2 linked regions of the Elephas maximus indicus genome follow. Each later gene encodes a partner of the first gene's protein in a complex. Links are inferred from orthologs where the notes say so. Each region holds a gene or a part of one and is shown on either strand. Other genes may lie near its edges.

Region 1 (7,003 bases):
AGAAATTACATGAAGGTCTATAGCCTCTTTCTAAAGTAACGTTTGGTCCTAAAGGTTATGAGAATAAGGTGGAAGTAATCATATTGATTTGCTCACAATAAAATTACTTCTGCATAACCTTTCAGATTATGACACCACATCCTGTAAAAGCTAAACAAGATGTACCTGTCTCGTTATATTAACGATAGTTTTTGATGGAACAGTACCTCGGATAAAATAATCACTCTCCAAGAATAAAAAAAATTAACATATGCCTTCATGTGTTAATAAAACAATAACAAAATAACTATATGCTGTCAAAAACAAGAAAAATTCACAACACACCACTTCTAGATATTCCTATAATTGTCTGGCTATTCATGCAGTACAGAGCAGTGGCAGAATTGACTCCCAGGTGTGGTACACTTGGCTTCAAAGGTATTATATGACTTTGTTGAGAACTTCATGCCCCCAAATTCCATTTTTCTTAAGTTAATATAGCATGTTTTCCTGAAGCCTAACTGCCTGTGAGAAATTCAGAGCAACGTGGGTAGAAGGAAAAAACCTGCCATAACACACATGGATAGCATATTTTAAATAACCATGGTGTAATAAAACACAGGGCTTAATTTTTATCTGGCTTCATATCTAACAATGTTCCATCAAAAAAAAAAAATCCTAATTTGTAATACAAATGTTATTTTGGGGAAAGTATACAATCTTACTACATAATTAGTTGAAAGTGATAAGCTGCTTTCACCTGATAAGTCATGGTGAATAAGGTCAGCAAAGTTAGGGTCTTCACCCCACCAAAATATCCATAATTCTCTTCTTCCAGGTCTTTGATCTCGCCGCCAAACACCAAGTACATCTGCCTTAAGGCATCGACTAAAACTGCTCAAAATGGGGTCTTCCTCAGTTACCGGAAACAGAATAGGGGCAGAAGTTGGGCCTTGCCATACGTATCTTTTCCATTTAATTCCGGTCAAGTCAGCCTGAAGAAAAGAAAGCATGACTTTTTATTACTGTGCATTCAAAGTTAAAACTATTCACCATAAAAGTCCCTTTTTCATTAAGACACTGCAATTTTTCAATATATGCTTAAAATATTCAAAGTGGCTTAAAACCAAAAAAAAGTAAAAAAGCTTTATACATCTGATAATAACCAAGAATTTAAAAAGAACAAAAACAGTTAAAATATTAACACTGACATGTCACAAATTAGCAAGTCAATAAATATAATGTGCCCCAAATAGAAATAAAAGAATGTTAAATATAAACATGTACTTTAACACTGCACACTGACTGAGTAAACATTTTTTTCTCTGTCCTAAATTCTACTCTAAGTGGTCCTGTTTGTCCCCTGGTGTCAAACTTTTAACTAAAAATTAATTTTTAAAAATTTATCATTCCATGTTTGTAGAAGTCATAGCTCTAATAAAAAGATATCTGAATACTTCCTGTAAAAATTCTAGTTAATTCTTGCCACATCCACTTTAGGAAAAATCACATAGCTGCCCACAAAGAAATCTCAGATTTGTGCTAGACTATCTTCAAAGAACTTGATCCTAAAAGTACCAAAAATAGACTGAGTTGGAGAGCACAGAAATTCAAAACCTGGTGTATGTCTTTTTACATGCAAAGATGCTGATTAATGGACATTATACAAGAAAACCAACATAATTTACAGGGGGGAAGGCATTACAGATCTCAATAGCACTGTGAAAGAGATTCGACAGAGGGAATCCATTAATTCTTCAACCTCACTTAAAGGGGCAAAGCATAAGGTGCCAAAAATGAAACTGCTGATACATGACTGGCAGTTTGCACTTGCCAATTAGTTGTGCTCCGCCCACTCAACTCATTTACCTATCATATACTCTTAATATTTCCCATAGCACAGAGGAAAATGAAAAAAGTCACCCAAACTTTGTCACCAAATTAAGCTATTGCCCATTTCTGAACTACGTATTTGCAACAGTTGGTACTTTGGGAAGTCTTATATGTTCTAAGTTCCCAGGCCTGGACCAATCAACACGATTGTCATTTCTCCGTATAGCTTCCCCAGACTTTCCATTTCAATAAAACATGGAGCAGCCTGCTCAAAGCATTCTGAAAAGGCAAGCAAAACAGACCAATATAGAAACAGAGCAAAACCATAGCACCTCCTCCATTAGCCCCCTCCACTCTCACACAAGCATAATGTTCTAATAATAGCAAGATGGCTAGAAATTGTCAAAATGGCAAACTTTTCAAAGTTTAGGAAGAAAACATATGAAATGGCATCTACTGGTTTTTACACAAAGATGTGAAGTCACCCAGAAGTCAAACTGTTAGTCTGACGCGTAGAAAAAATGTAAAATGGGGGGGGGGGGGAGTCAGTGCATAAACTCTGGGGTCCTGTTTATTAGGAGAAACCAAATTACCAGAGCGAAGTATAAAGACAGTGGGAGAACAGGCAATAATAGAAAGTGTGAAGAGGGATACAGGATCAAAAAAGAGAAAAGCAATAGTTAGGCAAAAAATGCAGACGGAAATGTTAATTAAGTCAGTGTCCCGGCAGATGAGGTGCCCAAGTTGAAGAGAAGACTACGATGCGGGGGGGGGGGGGGGAGTCAGAAACAAGACAAGAAACAAACTCCCCACTCCCGAGAGCTCAGGACGGCGACCGAGCGGACGCCGTCTCCCGGGGCTGGGTGCGGGGCCTCGCGGCCGCGCCGGCTCCACTGGGCCTGGCCTGGGACTCGGGCGCCGGGATCAGACCCGGACCCCCTCCCCCACGGCCCAAGGGCGCACCTCGCGGCCCCTCCCTCAGCGCCCCACTCGCCGCCGTCCCCGCCCGCGGCCCGGGCACTCACCAGGCAGAAAAGGTTACAGTGACAATCTTCCAGGCTGGCCCCGTTCGGCACGAAGGAGGAACTCATCGTCCCTCACAGCAGCCGCCGCCGGCGCCACAACCCACCATCCGCCATTACCGCCGCCTCCGACCAGAGAGAGAAACACAGACACCGGGCAGGGCGGGGGGGGTGGCGGCTGGGGGGGGCGATGGAAGAGGAGGCCGCCGGGCCGCCCGCCCTCCCCACCCACCCCCCCGCCGCCGCGAGCAGCCCCCGCCGCCCGGCCGGCACCCAGCCGCCCGGGGCCGAGGACCGGAGGCGGGAGGGCCGCGCAGCGCTCGCTCCGCGGGCCGGTCTGCGGCTGCCGCGGAGCCCGCAGGCGCTTGCCCCTCTCTGGGGGACAGAGGAGATGTATGCCCCTTCCACCAGAAAAATAATAAATTACACAATAAATAATTGAAATCGAGTCCGAGACGGTCGAGCCCAAGCCCCAGACGATTCCCTCGGGCGGGGAGGCGGCCGCAGAGGAGCTGGAAGGGCGAGAACCGGGAGGGAAGCCCAGGCCCCCGGCCCGGCAGCGGCGATGTCCTTAAGCCCAGAGTCTCCTCAGTGGCGGAGGTGGTGGCGGCGTCTGGGGCTCAGACCATTCTCCGGCTGTCTTCGTGTCGTCCCTGGGCCGGGCCGACCTAACGTCTGCTCTCCTGCGGCCTCACAGCCTGGACGCAGTAGCCTCCCCCATTTTGTGGGCCCAGCGGGCGGTGTTTTTCCCCCTTTAATCCGAATTCACGGGTTTTCCCTTCGCTTTAATGGCGGCCACAGGGACCAGCTCGCCCTCTCTGCTCGCCTATTGGCCGTCTTAAGGTCACGTGGACGCGGGCTCCGTGGGGAGGGGGAGAGAGAAGGGAGTGAGGGAGGGCTGGGAAGCTTTCCGCGGAGGTGGGGAGCCCCGGGGATGGGGCAGCCAGCTGGTGGCTACTAAGATAGCGCCATCTGCTGGGTGCTCCGGCTAGTGTCAAATGACCCGGGACTCGGGTTTATCTTTCTCCTTGTGCGGGAATTTACAGTACAAGGAGGTTCACAGCACAAATCTATGAGAATTATGTGGAAATCAGTTTGAATTCTTTGGAAGAGAAAGTGTTGCAAAAATTCCAAGGCATTCTTTCTCATTTATTCCACGAGGCCTCTGGGATGCAGCGGAAACCCGTGGGCTTCGGAGTCACACAGATCTGGATGGAGATACAATTTAGCCACGTGAAAGTTGTGTGATATGAAGATAGAAAACATAAACGAAACATATTGTGGTTAGTAGCCTGGGAATTAGAGTCACACACCCTGGTTCAAAACTTCAACAAGTCACTTAACCTCCTAGTGCTTCAATTCCCTCATTTCTGAAATGGAGAAAACACCACCCCTGGCTCACAGGGTTTTGTGATTATACATATAAAGCATGTAGGTAGTGCCTGGTACAGATAAACATTGTTAAGAGTTACCCACTATTGTTGTCATCATTACCTTATGCAGTCATTGTGAGGAGCAAGTGAACTAGTATATGTGAAGTGTCCACTTAAGAGTGTAATCTCCCTGAGAGCCAGGACTTTGTTTTGTTCACCATTATACCCCTACTGCCTAAAAGGTTTCTAGCACCCAGTTGTTAGTTGCATCAAGATGATTCCGACTCATGGTGACACCTGGGCACAAGTGGTTATACAGTCTAGCTGAAAGGCTGGTGATTGAAACCCACCCAGAGGTGCCCCGGAAGACAGGCCTGGCGATCTGCTTCCAAATCCTATGGAGTAGTTCTTCTGTGCACACATGGTCTTACCATAAGCGCCCAGTAGCTGCTTGATATTTATAAATTTAGAAATGAATGAATAGCAAGAGGTAGAAACCAAATACAATGTTAGTTCCCTTCCCCACAGAACACTTGGTTCTTGTCTGGATTACGCTCCAACGTAAGTGCTCAAAACATTTTTCCTGAGAGTTTTAGATACAGAATTACAAGAAAGGAAGGAAGGAAGAAGAAAAAAAGAGATGATTCAGAAGTTAGAAAAAGTAAAAGTTAGAACTAATCATAATTGTCTCTATAAAATAAATGATGAGCTCTACCATGTCTCTTCTTCAGCCACAGAGTAAAAAGCATTCCTTCATCCATCCATGTGTCCATCCATAGTGGTTAAGAGCCCAGATCTTGGATCCAGAAAAAGCATATAGAAAAGAATTCAGCCACTTACTAGTTGACCTTGGGTTGAATTCAACCTTAGATCAAAAAAATTTCTCTGACAATGGGATGGAGAGGGATACTGGCGAGGAGTGAGCTTCTTGGATCAGGTGGACACTTGAGACTATGTTGGCATCTCCTGCCTGGAGGGGAGATGAGAGGGTAGAAGGGTTAGAAGGTGGTGAAATGGACATGAAAAGAGAGAGTGGAGGGAGGGAACGGGCTGTCTCATTAGTGGGAGAGCATTTGGGAGTATGTAGCAAGGTGTATATAAGTTTTTGTGTAAGAGACTGACTTGATTTGTTAGCTCCCACTTAAAGCCCAATAAAAACTAAAAAAAAAAAAATTCTCTTATGCTCAGTTTTCTCATTGCAAAATAAAAGTACTTTCTGCCTAAAGTGTCTGGTGAATGAAACAATGTAGGTATAGTGCGTATCCTAGTGCTTACTAAATTTTAGCTGTTAATATATTTTTTAAATTGTTATTGAGTACTGCTGGCTCAAGTGAGTATGTTCCTGGTGTGTGCTAGGCCTCAGATACAAATATGAGTGAAATACCTTCCTGTCCTTCAAGATTCCTAAGGTGAGAAAATAAAGGAACAATTTCCCACAGACTACGATAAAATACGATGAAGATAATTGCTTGAATGAAGTATGTATCAACTTTGGCATAATAGAAGCTTTGGAGAAGGAGCACCAAAGTCAGAGAAGGCATCATGAAGTAGGAAGCATTTGAAATCAGATTTGAAGGATAAAATGAATTCTTATAAAGCCCTTTGAAGCAACTAAATCTTATTAAACCCAATTCAGATCCAAAGGCCACATATCAAAGTCAATTACACAAGCAGGACTAATTCAATCCAGGAGCTCAAATCAACTGAGGTCAGCATTCTTTCTAACTGAGTGCCAACACTAGGAGATAACAACCCTCAGGCCCAATCAGGTAAGGGGCCCTCTGCTCAGCTCTCTTCTACCCTTTTCCCTGAGGGAATCCTCGAACCTTTGTTCCCATTGCTTTTGTCATTCTGAAATGTAGTCCTCAATCCCTTATTTCAACCAAAAGTATCCATCCTCCTTAGAAGTCTCCCTCATCATTGTGTCCACTCCCAACTCTGAGCATCTTCCTCAGGACTCCAGTAGAATCAGCCTGAAAACTCCCTGATGGAAAGTAACATTTGATTGACGTTTCATTTGAAAGTCAGTCTTCTCAAAAAGAAGGGAGAGATAGGAGACAAGAAGGGAAGAAGACTCAAAGGAAAAATCTGAGGAAGATCATGGAAAGAAACAGAAGAGAAAGAGAGGAGAAATAGAGAATGAGAATGGAGAAGAAAATTGGAGGCGAGGGGACCCCATCTGTGAGGGGACTGGGAACATCAGGGGAGGAGGGGCAGACAGCAACATTGGTACACAGACGGCGTACAGTATGTATCAACTTTGGCATAATAGAAGCTTCGGAGAAGGAGCACCAAAGTCAGAGAAGGCATCATGAAGTAGGAAGCATTTGAAATCAGATTTGAAGGATAAAATGAATTCTTATAAAGCCCTTTGAAGCAACTAAATCTTATTAAACCCAATTCAGATATAACCACCTACATTCTGTTAACATGACATTTTGTGTAGTATAAACAGTAATAGAAATAAATGAAAACAATACATGCACATTGTCAAAAGTTTGGAAGATACAGAAAGGTGTAAAGATGAAAATTAAAAATGTATGTTGCAAAAAATTGCCCATAATATCACAATTCACAATTAACTACCCTTTAAGAGTTTCATGTATACCCTCCCAGATTTTACTCCATACATATTTTTCCTACATAAGGTCATACTATATATACAGTTTAGTATACACATTTATTGACCATCTAGTATGTGTCAGGTCATGTATGGGCAAGGCGCAGGGTATACAAGGAACTCATAATCTTGCTAGATTGGACATTTGGACAGTTGGATCACCAGGGGTCAAAACT
Region 2 (7,951 bases), on another chromosome or scaffold:
TGGATGTTCTTTCTTGTTTGCTCATCTGTAGGCAAAATACTTCTCACAACCTTGTCCAAAGGGCAGGGCCAGTCGCTCAGCTATGGTGCAGCAGGGCAGGTCCAGCAAATGGGGAGGGGCTTGGATAGGTCATTTGTGGCACATACTGGGGGAGACAGGGCAGGGGTGGGGGGCGGTGCAGGACATGTTTCAGGAGACAGTACCTGTGCTACTCGGGGATGTAATGCTCAGTGCATGGTGCAGATAGGCAGGAGAGAGGGGAGAGGATGTGATGTGTGGAGCTAAGTGGGTGTGGGAAAGAAGAGAAAGAGGAGAAAGACAAGCCAAAAAAAAATGCTAAGGGAGCCTGCCGTTGGAGTGGCACAGACCCAGGGAAGCTGTGTGCCATTGGCTTCGTAGCCAGGCAATGTGGCACAGCCCATCAAGAAGGGACAGATATGGCACAGACAGCTAGGTGGGCAGGAGAAAGGAAAGGAAGGAAGGGAGAGAGAGATAAGAAACTAGATTTTAAAAAAGAGAGAGAGAAAGGCACACATGGCCAGGTGGTCAGGAGAAAGGAAAGGAATGATGATAGAGAGAGACAAGAAACCAAGAGAAAAAAAGAAAACATCAGGTGGTTGGGAGGAAGAAGAAGGAAGGTAGAGAGAGACAAGAAACTGAGAAAAAAAAAAGCCCCAAGGGAGTCCACCAGAAGTGGGTCCCCAGCTGAGCAGCACTGCACAGCCCATCAAGAAGGAGCAGAGATGGCACACAGTACCAGGTGTTCAGGAGAAGGGTAAGGGAGGTAGAGAGAGACAAGAAACCAAGAAGAGAAAAAAGAAAGAAAGAAACACCCCAAGGGAGCCCACTGATGTGGTGGTGCACACCAGGAAAGGGGATCTCTAGCCAAGAGGCACTGAACAGCTCATCAAGAAGGAGCAGAAATGGCACACGGCACCAGATGTCTAGGAGAATGGAAAAAAAGGGAGGTAGAAAGAGACAAGGAACCAAGAAAAGAAAAAAAATGCCCCAAGGGAGCCCTCTAGTTTGTTGGCATGGACCAGGGAAGGGGTTCCTTGTCCAAGTGGTGTTGCACAGCCCATTTAGAAGGAGCAGAAATGGCACAAAAGCCATGTGTTCTGGAGAAAGGAAAGGAAAGGAGAGAGAGAAAAAAATGCAAAAGAAGCCCCCAAAACCAAGAACAGCAACAAAAAAATGGCACTGAAAGAGCTGGCTGGTGTGGGCAGGGCAAGTACAAGCAGCAAGAAGCCGGCATCTCCCCAGCCAAGCAACTGCAGCCTGCCAGGAAGCAGCAGAGGTAGAGCAGAGGGAAGAAGGGAGGGGAGTGGGAAAGCATGTATTGCTGGGTACCAGGTGCTCTGTCTCCTGCTGGGAGCTTCTCGTGCCTTCCAGTACTCCCTGTCTGCCATTCTTCGTAGTTCAGGGGTCCAAGATGGCAAATTTGCGCCACGTTAGCGATAGGGGACCTCCACTGTGTAGCTCTCGTCACTCTTTGTTCTCTGCCAGTTTCTTATTTCATTCAGGGCATGGTTCAGCTCTTTATTCCTTCACTTGATGCTTAGGGTTCTGGGATTGATGTTTGTCTCTGTTTTACTTAGTTTTTCAGGTCTTTGCTGTGTAGGGACAGCATGGTGCTTCTGTCTTTAGCACCATGGTGGCTCCCTGGATGTTGAAATGTTGTTTTTGATAATGACTGCAACGCTATTCCTCTTCAAGTTCCCAGCATAGTAGGCTATATGACTGTCCTATTCAAAACGTCCAATATTAGTCCATTTCAGTTCGCTAATGCCTATAATATCAATGTTTACGTGCTCCATTTCATTTGTGATGATTTTCAAATTTCCTAGATTATACTTCATACATTCCAGGTTCCAACTATTAACAGATGTTTGCAGCTGTTTCTTCTCATTTTGAGTCATGCCACATCAGCAAATGAAGGTCCCAAAAGCTTGACTCCATCCATGTCATTAAGGTTGACTCTACTTTGAAGAGGCAGTTCCCTACTTGTATTTTGAGTGCCTTCCAACCTGAGGGTTCATCTTCTAGCACTATATCAGACAATGTTCTGCTGCTATTCATAAGGCTTTCACTGGCTAATTCTTTTCAGAAGTAGACTGCTGGGGCCTCCTTCCTGTCTTAGTCTGGAAGTTCAGCTGAAACCTGTCCGCGATGGGTGACCCTGCTGGTGGCATAGCTCCCAGCATCATAGCAACATGCAAGTCCCCACAGTACAACAAATTGACAGATGTGTGGGGTGAGGGGGAGCACACATAGCATAAGCTTAAAAAACACCAAAACCCATTGTTGTAAAGTCGATTCTGACTCATAGCAACCCTACAGTCCACTGCCAAAAGACTGGCAGTAGGTACAGTCCCATTTAAGCCCCTCATCCATGGCACAAAGTGGGGTGTGCAAGGAAGAGTTGTCATTTCTGCCCAGACAGCTTTTGAGGTGTGATTGTTCGTGATTGAACTTTTCCTGTTGTATGCTGTCTGATTCTTGTAAGGAATAATAGCCACTTTTTATGTGCTAGTGTGTGTTCAAGCTCTGATCGAAAGGATGTAATGTTTATGAAGCAATCTGTATTAGTTATTGGTGCCCTTTTCCTAATGGCCTCCTGGCTACCTAGAAATTGAGTGCAACCTGTGAGCGCTACACAAATGTGGAGCATTGTCATACAGTTATGGTGTGTTTGAGCAGGACATGTTGTCCTACAACAGGACAGAAGCTGTATCATAATATAGTTTTTTTTTTAATAATTTTTTTTTGAGTTTTTGGTCAAAGTTTATGCAGCAAGTTAGGTTTCCATTTGATAATTTCCACACATTGTTCAGTGACATTAGTTACATTTACTACAATATATCTAAAGAGAACATGCTCTAATTGTCTTCTGTTTATACATTTCTGGTACTCTGTATTTTGTGTGCCACTCTGCTATTTTGCTAAAAGGTGATCTCAGAATAGGCTCAGTTCTAGGTTTAAAGAATGTCTCAGGGCAATAGTCTCAAGGAGCCCTCTGCTGTTTTAGTAGGTCTGACTTTTTTGTTTTAATAAGAATTTGAGTTCTGCTCCATTTTTTCTCCCATTCTATCCAGGACCAAGTATTATAACCCTGATCAGGTCAGTGGTGGTAGCCCAGCACCATCTAGTTCTTCTGGTCTCTAGTTAGATGAGGTTGTGGCTTATGTAGACTTGTTTCCTCTCTGAGCTTTTGGTTGCCTTACTATTCTGCTCCTGGTGAGCAGAGACTGCAGTTATATCTTAGATGGCCACTTGCAGGCTTTTAAGTCCCCAGATGCTACTCACCTCACTAGGGTGCAGATCATGATTTTTGTGAACTCTGTTACACCAATTAACTGAGTTGTTCCATGAGGTTATGGTTCTAAGCCTTCAAAGAATATGGGTTATTCTGAAGTAGCTCCTCTACCCTAGGCACCCGAGTTCTCATCAATGGGGCTGCAAAACTTTCTATTCTCCTTTAGTGGGCTCTCTCATTCATTCACCTATATCCAACCAGTCATCAGTCTATATTAACTTTTCCTTTAAAAATACGTTTTAGCCTTTCTTTCTTCTTTTACGAGGGTCAACATCCTAGTCTAGGCCCAACTCAGCTCACTCTTGGATAAATACAAGACCCTTGTGCTTTTCCAACTAAAATTCAAACCCATTGCCATTGAGTCAATTCTGCCTTATGGTGACCCCATTTGTTAAACTGTTCTATAGGGTTTGTTTGGTTGCAATCTTTATGCAAGCAGATAGCTAGGCCTTTTGTCCACAGTGCCACTGGAGAGGTTCAAGCTGTTAGGTTAGGCATCCAGCACAAACAGTTTGGGCTACCCAGGGACTCCTCCTTCCTACTAGACACTGTGAAACGTCTATTCTCCTCTCCACCAACCCTCCCCTGCTCCTCATCCATTTATTCACTGTCACACAAACAAGAAAAGCTTATTAGTTCCCCGTGCTCACACCATACCTCTTAGCTCCAAATGCTTTCTTCCTCCTTCTCACCTTGCCAGCAGTGACTTGCCTTCGCACACTCTTCTAACAGAGTAAATACAGTACTTAATTGTTTTGGACACTTTCCATTTCACCTGTGTCAGCCTCCCAAGCACATCTATACACAATTAAAGCTCCCTAACAGCATGCACCCAATTTCCACTTTGGTAACCCCCTCCATGGCCAAAAGCAAGAGAGGAGGCACCCTAAACCAGTCCTTCCTGATTGCCTAGTGAATTTTAATTTGGATTTGTTGAGTTTAGAATCATATCCTATCTCCCAAAAAAACCCCATGGAGCGGTTCTACTCTGTACCACAAGGGGCTGCCATGGGTCGGAGTACACTCAACTGCAATGGTTTTATTATTATTGACCCCCAAGTATTCTTGAGAAACACTGGTAGCGTAGTGGTTAAGAGCTACGGCTGCTAACCAAAAGGTTGGCAGCTCCAATCCACCAGGCGCTCCTTGGAAACCGTATGGGGCAGTTGTACTCTGTCCTATAGTGTCGCTATGAGTCAGAATCAACTCCACGGCAACGGGTTAAGTATTCTTGAGTTTCTTGCAGCGTATATGCTTTGTGGTCCATTTGGAAAGCAAAGACAACATAAAAATAAGCATTCAAGGTGATGTTAAAAAATGAATACATGGGGGAAAAATCACTAAAAAACCGCAGAATCCAACAATCTCTGTAAAGTGTTTAACACCTACGACGTACTTAATACGAGAACGATTGAACCCTGGACTGTCTCCGAGTTACTCAAAATATTTCCAGTCAGACTCTCCCTCCAGTACCAGCCAGACTAAACAGTCATTAGCTAAGTCTCAGATCCTCCTCCTCTTCCTCGTCCCGCAAATTCTTCCCGATCCCACCCCTTCCAAGAACGCAGCCATGTGATTGGCCACGACGAGTCCTCGAGCAGCCCAATCGCGCACGAGCAGCTGCTTAAGCGTCCCTTTGCGTGAGGGACAAACATGGCGGACCGGCTAACGCAGCTTCAGGACGCCGTGAACTCGGTGAGGAATTTCATTCGATTAGTCTCTGTCTCTTTTTTGGGGTAAACCAAGAGAAGACAGGGGTCCTGAAAGACAAAGCGCGGAAGCAGAGAGCGGACTGAGTTAGGTCTGAGCAGAAAGCGCTCGGGGCGGTGGGAAGCCCCGTCGGGAACCCTGGGAGGTCTGAGGCCGCCCGTCGGGCAGTGCGGAGAGATGCGAGAGCCTTTCTTTTGCTGGAGATTAAGGAGAAGTGGACGCTCTCTCCTTTCTCCTGCACTGCAGCCTGAGTCTTAGGTTTCACAGTCCTGTCATGTTCTCGTTGAGAAGATTTTTATTTTCTTGTTAGTGGTGGTTATCGGCTGTCTTCTTTTGGGGGTGGGGAAGGGGAGAAGCAGAATTTTGTTCGTTTTGTACTGATCAGTTCTAACCACTCGAGGCGAGCCCCCACGGTTGATGATTGGATCTTTAATTAAAAGTTAGCCGAAAGGATTTCTGCAGTAACTTTTAGGTTGGAGTCGGGGAAGGGGGCGTGACAGGGGTTGGGAGTGATGGTGAAGTCGTTTGTGTTTTTTCTAGTTCTTTTCTAAACGCCAAAGGTCTTGTTCTATCTCTTGTCCACTCCTCATCATAGATTAAAAAAAAAAAATAGGTAGTTAATCGAACGGGGGGGTGAGAAGATGGAGCCAGTATGAACGTTCAGCATTGTATTTTAAGTGAAGGCTGGGTGCATTACCAATTTAAAAAAAAGAAAATGAGATGTACGTATGAACTTCAAGGTATTTTTCACAGCTATAAATATAGAGTTACACATATCACAGTAGCGATATGTAATGAACCTTTGAGGTCTATTTAAGATTCACCTGTTTGAAGGTTTTTCATAAATAAAATAGGAACGCTTGGAAAAGGAAAAATCAGTCATAAATAACCCTTCTGGAGTAGAAGAAGGCCATTGGCCCATTGCCAATGACGAATGCATCTTTTGATGGTGAAATAACATTCTTGCAGAAAAGTGTGGGTGTAAAGTTTAATGAACAGTTACAAAGTGAACACCTGTGAAACATTAATGAGGTGAAGAAATACATCATTACCAACATCCCAGAAATGCTTTCTCCCTCTCTTGATCTCAGTACTACCCTGACTTTTGTGATAATCTACTTGCTTTTCTTTGTTGTTTTATCATTTATGCGTGCATGCCTAAATAACAGTTTAATTTTTTTTTGAATTGTATATATATATAAATGTATTCTTTTGTGATTGGCTTCTTTCACCCAACATTTTGTGTGCGTAATAATGTGGCATTCATTTTCATAGCTTTAAAGTATTTCATTTTATTAACATGCTGTAATTGCCACTGCTTTTTTTTTTTTTTTTTTAATATTTTGTTGTGTTTCAGTGAAGGTTTACACAGCAGTTTCAGGTTCCCATTCAACAATTTCTACACCGATTGTTCAGTGACATTGGTTACTTTTTTCACAATGCGTGAGCATTCTCATTATTTCCATTCTGGTTGTTCCATTTTTGTTACAATTTTTTTTTTTTAATTTTATTTTGCTTTAGGTGGAAGTTTACAGCTCAAGTTCATTTCTCATTCAAAAATTTATACACATATTGTTTTGTGTCATTGGTTGGAATCCCACAATGTGACAGCACACTCCCCTTTTCCACCTCGGGTTCCCTGTGTCCATCCCTTCAGTTCCTGTCCCTTTCTGCCTTTTCTTCTTGCTTTTGGGCAGGGGTTGCCCATTTGGTCTCGAATATTTGATTGAACTAAGGAGCACGTTCCTCGTGTATGTTATTGTTTGTTTTATAGGCCTATCTAATCTTTGTCTGAAAAGTGGGCTTTGGGAATGGTTTCAGTTCTGAGCAGAGTATCTGGGAGCCATAGTCTTGGGGGTTCCTCCAGTTCTGTCAAACCAGTAACTCTGGACTTTTTTATGCATTTCAATTATATTTTAATTTTTTCTCCCATTCTGTTTGGGACTCTCAGTTGTGATCCCTGTCAGGGTGGTCAGTGGTGGTAACCGGGCACTGTCTAGTTCTTCTGGGCTCAGACTGTTGGAGCTCTGGGTCATGTGGTCCTTTAGTCCTTTGGGCTAATATTTTCCTTTGTCTTTGGTTTTCACGAAATGGGACCAACAGATGTATCTCAGATGGCTGCTCGCAAAATTTTAAGACCCCTGATGCTACCCACCAAAGTGATGTAGGGCATTTTCTTTATGAATTATGTTTTGCAAATTGGCCAAGATGTCCCCTGAGACTGTGGTCCCCAACCCCAGCAACTTGGTCCCTCAAGGTGTTTGGATGTGTCTAGGAAACTTCTGTGCCTTTGCTTTGGTCATGTTGTGCTGACTTCCTCTATATTGTATGTTGTCCTTCCCTTCAACAAAGTTGACACTTGTCTACTATCTAGTTTATGATTCCATGCCCCCCCCCCCACCGCCTTCTTGAGCATTTGGATTGTGTCTAGTTTATAGAAATTAGGAACAATGCTCCTGTGAATGTTGATGCCTAGATGTCTCCTGGTACACAAGTGTGCACGGCAAGCAGTTAAGTTTCTTTTACTCCATATCTTTATCAACATTTGGTATTGTCAGTGTTCTTCATTTTAGTCTTTCTGATGGATGCATAAAAGTACCTTGTGTTTTAAATTTGCGTTTCCTTGATGACTAAGGTCGCTGTGAGTACCTTTTCCTGGGATTACTGGCCACTGGAGGAGCTCCTCTTTCTTCAAGTGCCTTTCAAATCTTTTGCCCATTTTTCTTAGTCTGTTATGGCCTGTTTATGATGTTTTTATAAATAGAAATTATTAATATGAATGTAGTAAAATTTATCAGTATTTTTCTTTGTTGGTTAGGCTTTTTTGTGTCTTAAGAAATTCTTTGTTACCCCAACATCATGAATGTATTTTCTTATAGCATTATCTAAAAAATATCTTTTGTCTTTTATGCTTAGAGCTTAATC

The links. The genes of interacting proteins can lie anywhere in the genome.
Region 2: MED13 (region 1) and MED21 share a complex: the UniProt entries of both Homo sapiens proteins name them as parts of the mediator complex. The link is inferred for Elephas maximus indicus from reciprocal best matches to the Homo sapiens genes MED13 and MED21.

The regions. Positions count from the first base shown.
Region 1 is NC_064837.1:34,008,773-34,015,775, forward strand, and holds the start of MED13 (mediator of RNA polymerase II transcription subunit 13), read right to left. Parts: upstream 3,018-7,003; 5' UTR 2,904-3,017; coding exon 2,838-2,903; intron 975-2,837; coding exon 740-974; intron 1-739. UniProt on the Homo sapiens protein: Component of the Mediator complex, a coactivator involved in the regulated transcription of nearly all RNA polymerase II-dependent genes.
Region 2 is NC_064822.1:85,864,277-85,872,227, forward strand, and holds the start of MED21 (mediator of RNA polymerase II transcription subunit 21), read left to right. Parts: upstream 1-4,936; 5' UTR 4,937-4,969; coding exon 4,970-5,011; intron 5,012-7,951. UniProt on the Homo sapiens protein: Component of the Mediator complex, a coactivator involved in the regulated transcription of nearly all RNA polymerase II-dependent genes.